Linked DNA regions of Lytechinus pictus. The protein of the gene in region 2 purifies or fractionates together with the protein of the main gene of each other region. This does not show direct contact. Links are inferred from orthologs where the notes say so. Each region holds a gene or a part of one and is shown on either strand. Other genes may lie near its edges. The genes, in order: uncharacterized protein LOC129269308, tRNA-splicing endonuclease subunit Sen15-like and polyribonucleotide 5'-hydroxyl-kinase Clp1-like.

Region 1 (3,759 bases), on a different chromosome or scaffold from region 2:
ATGAGAAACTTTGAAGTTTTATGAATAAAATGATGTATAATTCAAGGGCATAAATTGCCCCACATAGCAGCGCATTGCACTTTAAAAAGAAGGATTACACAGTCCCAGTCATTGCATTTTGTGTAAGTTATGAAAATCAACTTTTGCTGTAAAAAAATCTGCACATTCTCCCATTTAAACAGAAATATCTCTGTCAATATTTGACATCATGAGTTGATTTTAAGCACCATTCTTTTTATACCACAAGCTTTCAAATAGTACCAAATTTGTTGGGATTCCTTCAAAAGGCTTCAAGATTTCAAAAAGCCACTGTCTCCCCACTCAAACAAGCTTTTATCATTTTTTTTGACAGAACAAAGTCTGCATATTTTTCCCTGTAAATTGGAATATCTCCGTCAATATATCAGACAATGAGTAGATTGAAGCACCATTATTTTTCTTATTTCACAATTTTTCCAACGATATCAAATTTGTTGGGATTCCTTCAAGATTTTAAAAAATCACCGTACTCCCTACTAGTTTAGGTGATAATAGAGGACTTGTCTTAGGCCTATATTTTACTTTTAATCATACCAGTCAAGATCAACAGATAACGAACGTAGACCTCACTCATGTCACTCCCAAGTCCCAGCTCACAACACAAGCCATCCATTTCAGGCATCACACTCAAACAGCTCAACCTAAGTCTAAAAATGAGGGCCAGCCATGTCTCCAAGTTCAAAATAGAAACACTGCTCAAATAAGGTGTGAACACGAAAGACTTCCTTATGTCCCCTCCACTAATTTTTAAAAATACTTCTCCAAAACCCTCTTCTCTCATTCTCTTTTTCTTCTTTTTTTTCTTCTTACTTCCGGTTGGAACTTGGATTCGAACCTCTCGTTGCAGAACGATGAATCTCCAGTCTCTCGCCTTACTCACTGAGCTAGCCACAGAAATTGTTGAAAGCAAACGGTTTCAACCGATATTACGACTAGTCTACTCTCCAAGAGTATTGGGCATTTATTTTTCTGACTAAATATACCAATGATATCGGGAATTACACACACTCGAATTTTTGACGGAATAAAGCCATATTTTGGTATGTATCCAACTTTTCCTTCTTAAAGGCCAAGTCCACCCCAGAAAATATTTGATTTGATTCGATAGAGAAAAATCAAACAAACATAACGCTGCAAGTTTCATCGAAATCGGATGTAAAATATGAAAATTATGACATTTTTAAGTTACGCTTATTTTTCACAAAACAGTTCAATGCACAACTCAGCGATATGCAAATGAGAAAGTCGATGATGTCCATCACTCACTATTTCTTTTGTTTTTTATTGTTTGAATAATACAATATTTCAATTTTTACAGATTTGCCAATAAGGACCAACTTAACTTAACCATAAACTGTTAAAATAATGGTAATTCCACATGTTCAGTGAGAAATAAAACTTTGTTTCACTTGACGAGAAGAAAATTAGAATATTTCATATTTCATATAATAAAATAGAAAAGAAATAGTGGGTGACGTCATTAGTCTGCCAATGTGCATACCGACCAGGATGTGCATATAACTGTTTTGTGAAATTAAGCGAAACTTAGAAATGTCATAACTTTCTTATTTTACATCCGATTTTGATGAAATTTTCAGTGTTTTGCTTGTTGGATTTTTCTCCTTTTTTTCAAATCAACTTTTTGTTGGGGTGGACTTGTCCTTTAAATCTCTTAGTCAGATATATGTTGTTAGATAATTCTTGATAAACCTTCTCCATATTTTTTTTTTCAATTTTAGTGGAGGGGACATATGGACATGATGGAAGTCTTGCCAATTACACAAGCTATCAAGTATAAATAATCAAGGAATCGTGATTTCCCCCATAATTTGTGTGCTTAAGAAATTCCACATGCTGACATGGTAATGGTCGTTTTTGTGTAGAGCCTGGGCGCTGGCATACACACGACACTCAGTCGATAGTGAGCTCCATTTGAGAATTCTCTAACTTTGTTACATATCTACGACTACGAGTACGACTACGCAATATAACGCACAAAAATCCTGCTTTTGGGATAGATCAAGAAAAGGGTATAATATACGCATTTTCGAAACATAAAGTAAACTTACCATAAATCATGTGAATTGTGGACTTTTTAAATAATTTTTTTGGCCAGGCGTACCGTACCGGTCCTCCGTATTGTTTTGAAGTTGAATCATTCACGATACGCGGCCGTACCGTACCCTCGCGCTCTCTTGATTTAAGGCCCGGGCGCCGGCTGCACTCGCCTAGCTTCGGCCGGCGGGAGCGCCGCTCACATCGCCTTTTACTCGGCAGATAATGCAGATATATGCAGATCGGCGTCACTGGTCGTCGTCACACGGCAGTACACGTGCATTTGGACCTTGTATAGTATACAACAACGAACGTAGAGGGCAGCAACACACATGCGTGTTGCTCTAAGGAAGGTCAACTCCGCTCGAATTTTGTGACCACTTTAAAAAATAAGGTGGGGTTTTGGGAAATTTGTCGAGTTGATTTTTTTTCATTTGTTAATTTCAAATATTTTTTAATGAACAATTATTAGATCGGTCATTCTGGGTATAAATATTAAAAATATTACTTTTATTTTTAAAGAAAATATCTAGCTTAAATAATCATGATTTTGACATTTTTCCTCATTTTGGAATATTAAGCCTGTGACGAGGATACCTCATATCTCTTATTTTCTTCTGCTGAATTTCGCTGCACCACTAATAAATGCTTAGACAACCACCGTAATAATCGAGGTCATTTTTCTGGCCTGGGTGCGCCGAGTCTGGCCCGGTCGCGCAGCTAGCTAGTGACGTTGATGATGCGCTGGGGCTTCAGGCGACTCGTCATAGATCTAGCAACTTAGACAATGACGTCTAATTTGCCTGGCCTGATTTGAAGTGTAATGGCTTCAGGGCTGATGTTTATCAACGATGATTGTTCAAGGTTAGATTTCAAATTTTAAATGTCATTTGACTTTTAAGTCTATAAATCTGAAATAAAGGCGCTGTATCCCCGAAATCCGGGTCTAAATTTCAACTCTGAGTCCGAGACCATGGCATGGACGGCGAAAAAACAACCCATGCATCGGATGCATTGCATTGGCTGCGCGCTGCGCTGCAGCTGCACTGTGATGATGGGTTCAGCGAAGAGCTCAGAGAAAATAAGGTGGTTATATTCAATCCCGAAATGCTTTGCGAGTGGTCACAAAATCGTCTCGACGCAAATCACCTAATACAGCCGTCTGGTGAAATCGCTGATAACAACAATCACCGATTTGGTAATGATTTTAGTTTCCTGAAACTTATATTTGTAAAGTTTTAAATATCAAAGTATGTTTTTATATGTATGTATATTCCTCAACATATTTTTAAAGTTATCTTTGATATTGTTGTAGTCATATTCTTTCATATTCGTTTTTTTATCGCTACTAATTTGTTGTTGTATTGGATCGGCATTTGATTTCGTTGGCATGAACAATAAAATACGCGCGCAGCTCAGCTGCATGCGCGTATCGAGTTGACCTTCCTTATAGCAACACGCTTGTGTGTTGCTGCCCTCTACGTTCGTTGGTATACAAGTACATAAACACGAACAAAGGAAGCTACCAATGTCTCTCTATTCTATTACGCAATAATTGGGGCGGTTGGGGGAGGGGCATTATGCTAGGAAACCGATATGTTCAAATGCTAACTTTTCATAGATATCGTTTATAGGGTCGGTATTCATGATGCAAGAGAATGTCGC
Region 2 (3,134 bases):
ATATGGCAAGAAATTTTGCATTTTTTTATCTCTATTTTTAATTAAAGGAAAATGAAAGGATAGATTTATTATCTGGTCATAAACTGATTACATTTCACTGATTAAAATAAAATTAAAATGAGGCAGAACGGTTTCCTATTTCCCATGATATGCCAAGTCAAATTTATCAATATTTTGATTTTGAAAGACCCGTGGAGATCGCCATTTTGCTCATCCTCCCTATATCTCTGTGGGGGGGTTGTGACGTCAGCGACGTACAACTCGGTGTCCGACCTCGGCACTCGCCTTTGATTGCTAGCATAAAATACATGGGCCAGAGTGGATCTGGCTGCCGAAAATAGGTCAGTAAGGGGCACAAAATGCAGCTTTTGCCAAATTCCTGATCCGCAGAAGAGGCCAGAAATCTCTTTAAAAATGATTGGCTGCACTAAAGGTGGAAAAAAACTACAATTCTTCCAAATTCAAGAGGAATGATGTTGTTCGTAGCGAGCATTTTACTGATTTCTTCGGCCGAGTATTGGGGCTCGAAGTCGTAGGCTCTCAGGCCTTCTAACTAAGTTCTATTTCAATACAAACGTCCGATAATACTTAAATCGATGGTAACAAATAATAAACAACGTTAGATATAATGAAATATAGCACAATTAACAATTTAACGATATTCAAACGGGATAAACAACCAAACTTCCAACATAAAAGTCAACACGATCACTCGGTTCAGGGGCCGGCGGTCGGCACTCAAGTGTTCATTACATGCTGCCGCGCACAGAAAAATCAAGCCATGGAAGTCGTGTGTTGTGGACACCAGAAGGAAGATCCCAGCACGCGCGATCCACTAGATAGAAATCCACTGAAAAATGCGGTTCACGGTGCTAGCTATATACTAACCTCGCAATACGTGTGATGAGTGGGTGGCTGCACTGTCTACGAACAAATTTAGCTTTGTCAAATTTGCCAATTTGGATATCGTAAATACATGTGTAAACATTTTCATCAAAACTCATCAATTTGTGTTTTAAACCATGAAATAATTTTAATAGCTTTTTGATAATTATTTAAAGTGTTTTATGTGTATATTATATTCATATCTTGTAAAAAAGTATCTATATTATGCAAACTCGGGGTTGGTTTCAGCCTGTGACTAGCTGCACATGGAAGTTAGTACCGAGAGCAGTTGTACGTCGCTGACGTCACGATTTTGAATGAACCTCGCAACAATGGCGATCTCCATTTAGTCAAGAGACTTTGAACGTGAAGAAGCCCAACTTTGAAGAGGTGGTACTCCACTCTGGGAAATCGGATTTGGGTATAAGTGGATTCATTTTTATTATCATTTACTTATCAATGATATTATGTGGTATTACATTTTGGGTTTCATTCTCCTTTAAGAAAAAAATAATTTAAAGAATCAAATTTAGGCCTACTTAAGAAATAAGGCCTTTAACTAAGGGCCAAGACCCAAGTTGTATGACGAATAGGTGTAATGGAAACTGTCAGTGTAAAAAAATAAAGCATTTGTCCCAAAGAAAAAGAGAAAATAAGCCAAACATTGCCATCCTTATTTTGCCACACATCGAGATATAACTGAGAACAAGGTTATATCATAACCTTGTTCAACCTTGAATGAGTGCGCTTCGCGTGCCAGAGCTCCATGGGCCTGGGTTAACCGGTACGTACTAACATAGAAAGAAAGGTGTGGGGCTGTTGACGTTGTGAATTTTATCACGACCAGAGAAATATACAACAACCCCAGTGAATAGTTGCACGTACGGATTCATAAAACGTATTGTCTGATTTGTTACCTTAGGATGATCTGAAAACCAAGAAAAGCGGTCAACTGTCACAGCTGTAGTTCCGGAATTTTGACCAGAATCCATTATTCGTTCTTGCCTCTTGGTTTTCGGAGTGACCGTGGTAGGTCTCGAAATATCTCGCACACAATATCAATAGCTCTCGATTCCCGCGAGATTTCACTTGTTATGTTAATTAGCCAAACTCTTTGACCAATCAGAGCCTGAATTGATGATGTCATATAATAATATGCACATGTTGATGTAAACACAGACATGTGTCATTCTAAATTTAGAAATGCATGGAGAGTTGCACTTGCTCTCCGATGTCGCAATACAAGGAAGACAAATTCCTGAATATATAAAGTTAAACCAATATTCACAGCAGCATTCAGTATTCCAACCGGCTGCAAGCCAAACAGGCATAAAGCCTTCTCGAAAAGGATTTTTCTTCTACTAGTGAGAAAAAAATATTGAGAATGGTTGCTGAAGCAGGAGAAATACAGGTGGAAAGTTTCCCCAAAGCCATCACTGGGAAACCACCTTCGAAATGTGCTGAAAAACTTACTGCCAAAAAAGCGGTGGTGTTGGCTCGCAAATCCAGTAGGAGAAATAAATCTCAGACTAAACCAAATCTAACGAATTCAGACAATGATACTGACATCGACAGTGACAAGAAGGAGAAAAAAAGGAAGAAATTTCAACCAGCTCCATGGTTGTGTGAAAACATGGGCGTTCAATCGGCAGCCCCAATTCGTTCCTTTTTGGATGACGCAATTGCCTTTATGGAAGGGAAAGAGCAGCCAAGTGAGGGCTGTTACAACAGGTATGATGAATCAGGATTTAACTTTGACGAGTATGAACGTGTCATGTTCCATCCAGTGAGATTAAAAAGGAAAACATGTTTAATGCACCGAGTGAAGACTAATCCCAAGATTAAGAATTATGCTACAAAATGCAAATTACAAGACAAGGTAATTGTGCAAGGGAAGAAGGTTGTGATTAATAATGGTGTGATGTCTCGACTTAGTGCACAGGATGAGGAGATCACAATAATCAAAGAACGACGAAATGACAGGACTTCTCGGAAGCTCGATCGCCTTGGTATACCAAGATACAGTGAATGGGTGCCAAAGGAGTCACAGACGGCTGAAAATGCATCGACGGCAAAAACGAAGCCAAATTACACCCGCGCAAAAAGGCCACGAAGGGGAATTCAAGTTGCCTTTCGGAAACCTCGCTGGACCCCAGAGCAGAAGGAGCAGCGAGTTTACATCCCACACGAGTTCGAGCTCGTGACCGCTCAAGTGGACCACGATGACCCCGATGAAGCGAATCTCTTGT
Region 3 (3,759 bases), on a different chromosome or scaffold from region 2:
CATGTTCCCCACTCCCATGGAGTAATCATGTAGATCATCCAAACCAGCTCATCATATTCATCTTGCTACCTCCTTAGAGGTAACAGGAAAGGATTAATCCTAACTGATGATACTGTATTTAAAGTTGGATTCTGGTATGTACAATTCATGAGTACCTTCCTGGTACAGTTAGTAATTATTTATCCAGTCAAATATTTGTCTGCCTTCATGATTATTTTTTACTTTTAGGAGCTTGATTGAAAAGAATGTAGTTTACTTCAAGTAATCTGTGAATGATTTGACTATATATTGATTCGGGGTGTATTTTTTTTTGAAAAACAGGTAAAATTTGTAAGTTTGTCCATACCCCTTCATGCCCTGATGAATATTCATTCCAGCAAATTGAATATGCATGAGTTTTTATTGTAGACTTTGATTTCAGTCAATTTGTCAATAAGTTATGTTCCTAGTTCTTTCAGTTAAATTTAATAATCTGCTTTATGTCATGAAGTCCACTCTTACATGTATATTTATTTGCATTCACATTTGTACAAGTATTAATTAATGAGTTAATCCCCGCAAGCATACACATGACAAATTCTGTCAGCCAAGGTTGTTATTTAAAAAGTGTGCATGGGGAGACTATTCTTTGCCTTGTGGATTGACATGTGCTTTTTGTGTGTACAATGTACATTGCATATCGCATGCTGCCCCCTGCACATAACAATACAATGCACATAGCATGGAGCTATAGCTCTATGCACAGAGCATGTGTTTGTGTATAGTGTGTGTTCCCTGTGCAATTTACATGTAGCTGTAATGTGTGTATTCTAGTGAACAGCTGCAGGGGTACCCTGCATAAATTTACTACGAACCATGAGCCAGTAGGTCCATGATCAGCTGTACAAAATATATTGCATACTATACTGCATTCAGCTCAATTCATTTTCCTGAATGTAGTAGCTGCATGATTGCTTGTCATTGGGTGTAATACTCTGTTATAATTCCATATGGAACCCCCTGAAGAAATACCCGTTGAAATTAATGTTAATGCGAAAGATTGCTCAAATTGGGAAGAGTTAAAAGCTCAGGCCAGTCTAGGAGAAGAGGTAAGAATTTAATTGTCAAATTAAAATTTTACAAATTTGTGATAAAATATAGGCCTACATGTTTTTACAATTAATTACAGTGTAGTTATGATTTGATATCATATTTTTTTGGTATAAATGTATGTACAGTGTATTTCTTAATCTGTTTGTTGCAGTTGTACAGTATACATATACGGTACATCATGACTTCAACATCGTCAGGTATATATTTTAAGTTATTTTTTATTTTCTTAGATTAGAATTATGAATATGGAAATATAATTTTATATCTTTCCTGTCAATTGTGCACCTGATGGGGGGGGGGGGGAGAAGGGGTGCACTCAACTATGTTGCTGTAAACACGCTCAACCATGTTCTTTTTTTCGATCATTACGCTTAATTCTTGTGTGACACTTTGAGGATCTACATAGTACATGTAAGGATGTCAGAAAATGAATTTTTGTCAAGTAAAAATAAATGTTTTGGGGGTTATACTTGTTCGGGGGGTGGGGGCAAAATTGTCGAAGAAGCACACAAAAATACTTGAATAGGGTATGAATTTGACCACGGATAAAACTTGTGGGTTTGTACTTTGTAAAACTTGTACTGTATGTATGTAGTTGAGCCGTTCTGGAGACCCCCATTTTAATTTAAGACCAAGGTTTAGTTCCAGAGCCCCCTATTTTCGACTTTGTTACATCTAGGTATCATGTTATAATTCCAGTACATGTACCCCCTCCCCCCCCCCTCTGGTGCACTTGTGCATGGCAATGCAGTCTCCCCCCCCCCTCCCCGATTGCACACCACAAGGGCTTGCATACTCAAAAATCTATCTGTTTAGATGAACTTTTTTTCACTTATTTCTTTTTTTTTTTACAAGTACAGTGGAACAATCGAAAAATATAGAGACTGGTCAACCTGAAGCTTTTGGCTTTAAATAAATTGCCCCTGAACAAAGACACACACACACATTTCTATATTTCTTTTCTTTGCTTTTAAAAGTTAAGCTAACTGAATTCTTCTTTGTGAGTATTTCCTTTTTCATTTACATTTTCTTTTGAGAATAAAAATTCATATTGGACTCTCTTTTCTCATATGTTTTTCTCTATTTAAGAGCTGAAAAAAAAGCTAAAATTTAAATATTGGATTCATCCTTAAAATTAATTTCTTCATCTATGGAATTTGATTTCTACTTTTTTATTGTAATGTTTTGCGTGAATTCCACAAAGTTGTTCATGTCCATCTTGATCATTTCAATATAATGAAAAAAAATTGAAAATTCCTTTTGCTCTTTCACAAAAAAAATGTGCAAATAAACAATGTACATGTACATGAATGAGGATCCTCTTTAAAGGACAAGTCCACTCCAACAAAAAGTTGATTTGAATAAAAAGAGAAAAATCCAACAAACAACACTGAAAATTTCATCAAAATCGGGTGTAAAATAAGAAAGTTATGACATTTTAAAGTTTCGCCTAATTTCACAAAACAGTTATATGCACATCCTGGTCTGTATGCAAATGAGGAGACTGATGACGTCATCCACTCACTATTTCTCCTGTATTTTATTATATGAAATATTCTAATTTTTTCCTCATTGCCAAGTGAAACAACGATTAATTCCTCCCTGAACATGTGGAATTAACATTGTTTGATAATATATGGTTCAGTCAAGTTGATCCTTATTGTCAAATTTGTAAAAAATGAAATATTGTATAATTAAAACAATTAAAAAAAAAGAAATAGTGAGTGAGGGACATCATCGACTATCTCATCTGCATGTCACTCAGTTGTGTATATCACTGTTTTGTGAAAAATATTTGGAACTTTAAAATGTCATAACTTTCTTATTTTACATCCGATTTTGATGAAATTTTCAATGTTGTGCTAGTTTGATTTTTCTCTATTTATTCAAATCAACATTTTTCTGGGGTGGACTTGACCTTTAAAAAACAAAGCTTGTAAAAGCTAGGTTCCCACTGATGACGGAATTAGTAAGAGTAAATAATTCTTATTATTTCAATCACATTAAGATCAGGTAAGCATGCAGAGAGGTGATTAGCAACATGCCTTGCTGTCATTTATTTTCCTTAATAGCAAGTCATCATACAGACTCACAAAATGCTCCGAGTCACATTGCTCTCCGCATGAATCTTGACGATGATGCCGTAACGCCTAATTGCTGGGGATAAGGCTGGATTACTGGTAAAAGTTCAATTTGTGAATAATTTCTCTTTTTACATCATGATGGGGAAAATGTTATGTCATATCTTATGTTTGCAAGTCGCATAGTGCTTATGTTTTTATAATCATGCCAACAATGACATGATTAAGAAAACCTTGAAATTATTTTTCTGAAGCGTACATGATACAATCTGTTTGGGCTCAAAATAGTGAGATTAGATAATGCTGGATTACTGATAAGAGTTCAATTTTGTGAACCCCTCTTCTTACATCATGCAAGTGAAAATATTATGTCATATTCGTGTCCATGTTTTTTATAGTCTTCAATTGGATATATTTGGTAAAATCAACTCTTGTCAGCGATGGCATATATAACTGATGAATACTTTTTGTAGGTCATGCATATTTGTCTCCAAGTGTTGAGATGGAGAATGATATCTATGCATGGTTAAGGTAAATTTTGTGAAACCCTCTGTCGTTTCTCACGCTGTAGCTGAGAAAATGCTGT

What was found.
Region 1: the proteins of tRNA-splicing endonuclease subunit Sen15-like (region 2) and uncharacterized protein LOC129269308 purify together in Homo sapiens (affinity purification with mass spectrometry; 4 studies listed by BioGRID and IntAct, counting the BioPlex papers as one, with this or other methods). This does not show direct contact. The link is inferred for Lytechinus pictus from reciprocal best matches to the Homo sapiens genes TSEN15 and TSEN54.
Region 3: the proteins of tRNA-splicing endonuclease subunit Sen15-like (region 2) and polyribonucleotide 5'-hydroxyl-kinase Clp1-like purify together in Homo sapiens (affinity purification with mass spectrometry; 4 studies listed by BioGRID and IntAct, counting the BioPlex papers as one, with this or other methods). This does not show direct contact. The link is inferred for Lytechinus pictus from reciprocal best matches to the Homo sapiens genes TSEN15 and CLP1.

Annotation. Positions count from the first base shown.
Region 1 is NC_087254.1:22,852,484-22,856,242, forward strand, and holds the start of uncharacterized protein LOC129269308, read right to left. Parts: upstream 2,391-3,759; 5' UTR 2,109-2,390; intron 513-2,108; exon of another isoform or gene 1-512.
Region 2 is NC_087259.1:12,404,502-12,407,635, forward strand, and holds the start of tRNA-splicing endonuclease subunit Sen15-like, read right to left. Parts: upstream 2,270-3,134; 5' UTR 1,878-2,269; coding exon 1,803-1,877; intron 1-1,802. Other genes in the region: uncharacterized protein LOC129277298, read left to right, coding at 2,270-3,134. UniProt on the Homo sapiens protein: Non-catalytic subunit of the tRNA-splicing endonuclease complex, a complex responsible for identification and cleavage of the splice sites in pre-tRNA. It cleaves pre-tRNA at the 5' and 3' splice sites to release the intron.
Region 3 is NC_087257.1:17,667,639-17,671,397, forward strand, and holds the start of polyribonucleotide 5'-hydroxyl-kinase Clp1-like, read left to right. Parts: upstream 1-729; 5' UTR 730-989; coding exon 990-1,088; intron 1,089-3,162; exon of another isoform or gene 3,163-3,272; intron 3,273-3,759. UniProt on the Homo sapiens protein: Polynucleotide kinase that can phosphorylate the 5'-hydroxyl groups of double-stranded RNA (dsRNA), single-stranded RNA (ssRNA), double-stranded DNA (dsDNA) and double-stranded DNA:RNA hybrids. dsRNA is phosphorylated more efficiently than dsDNA, and the RNA component of a DNA:RNA hybrid is phosphorylated more efficiently than the DNA component.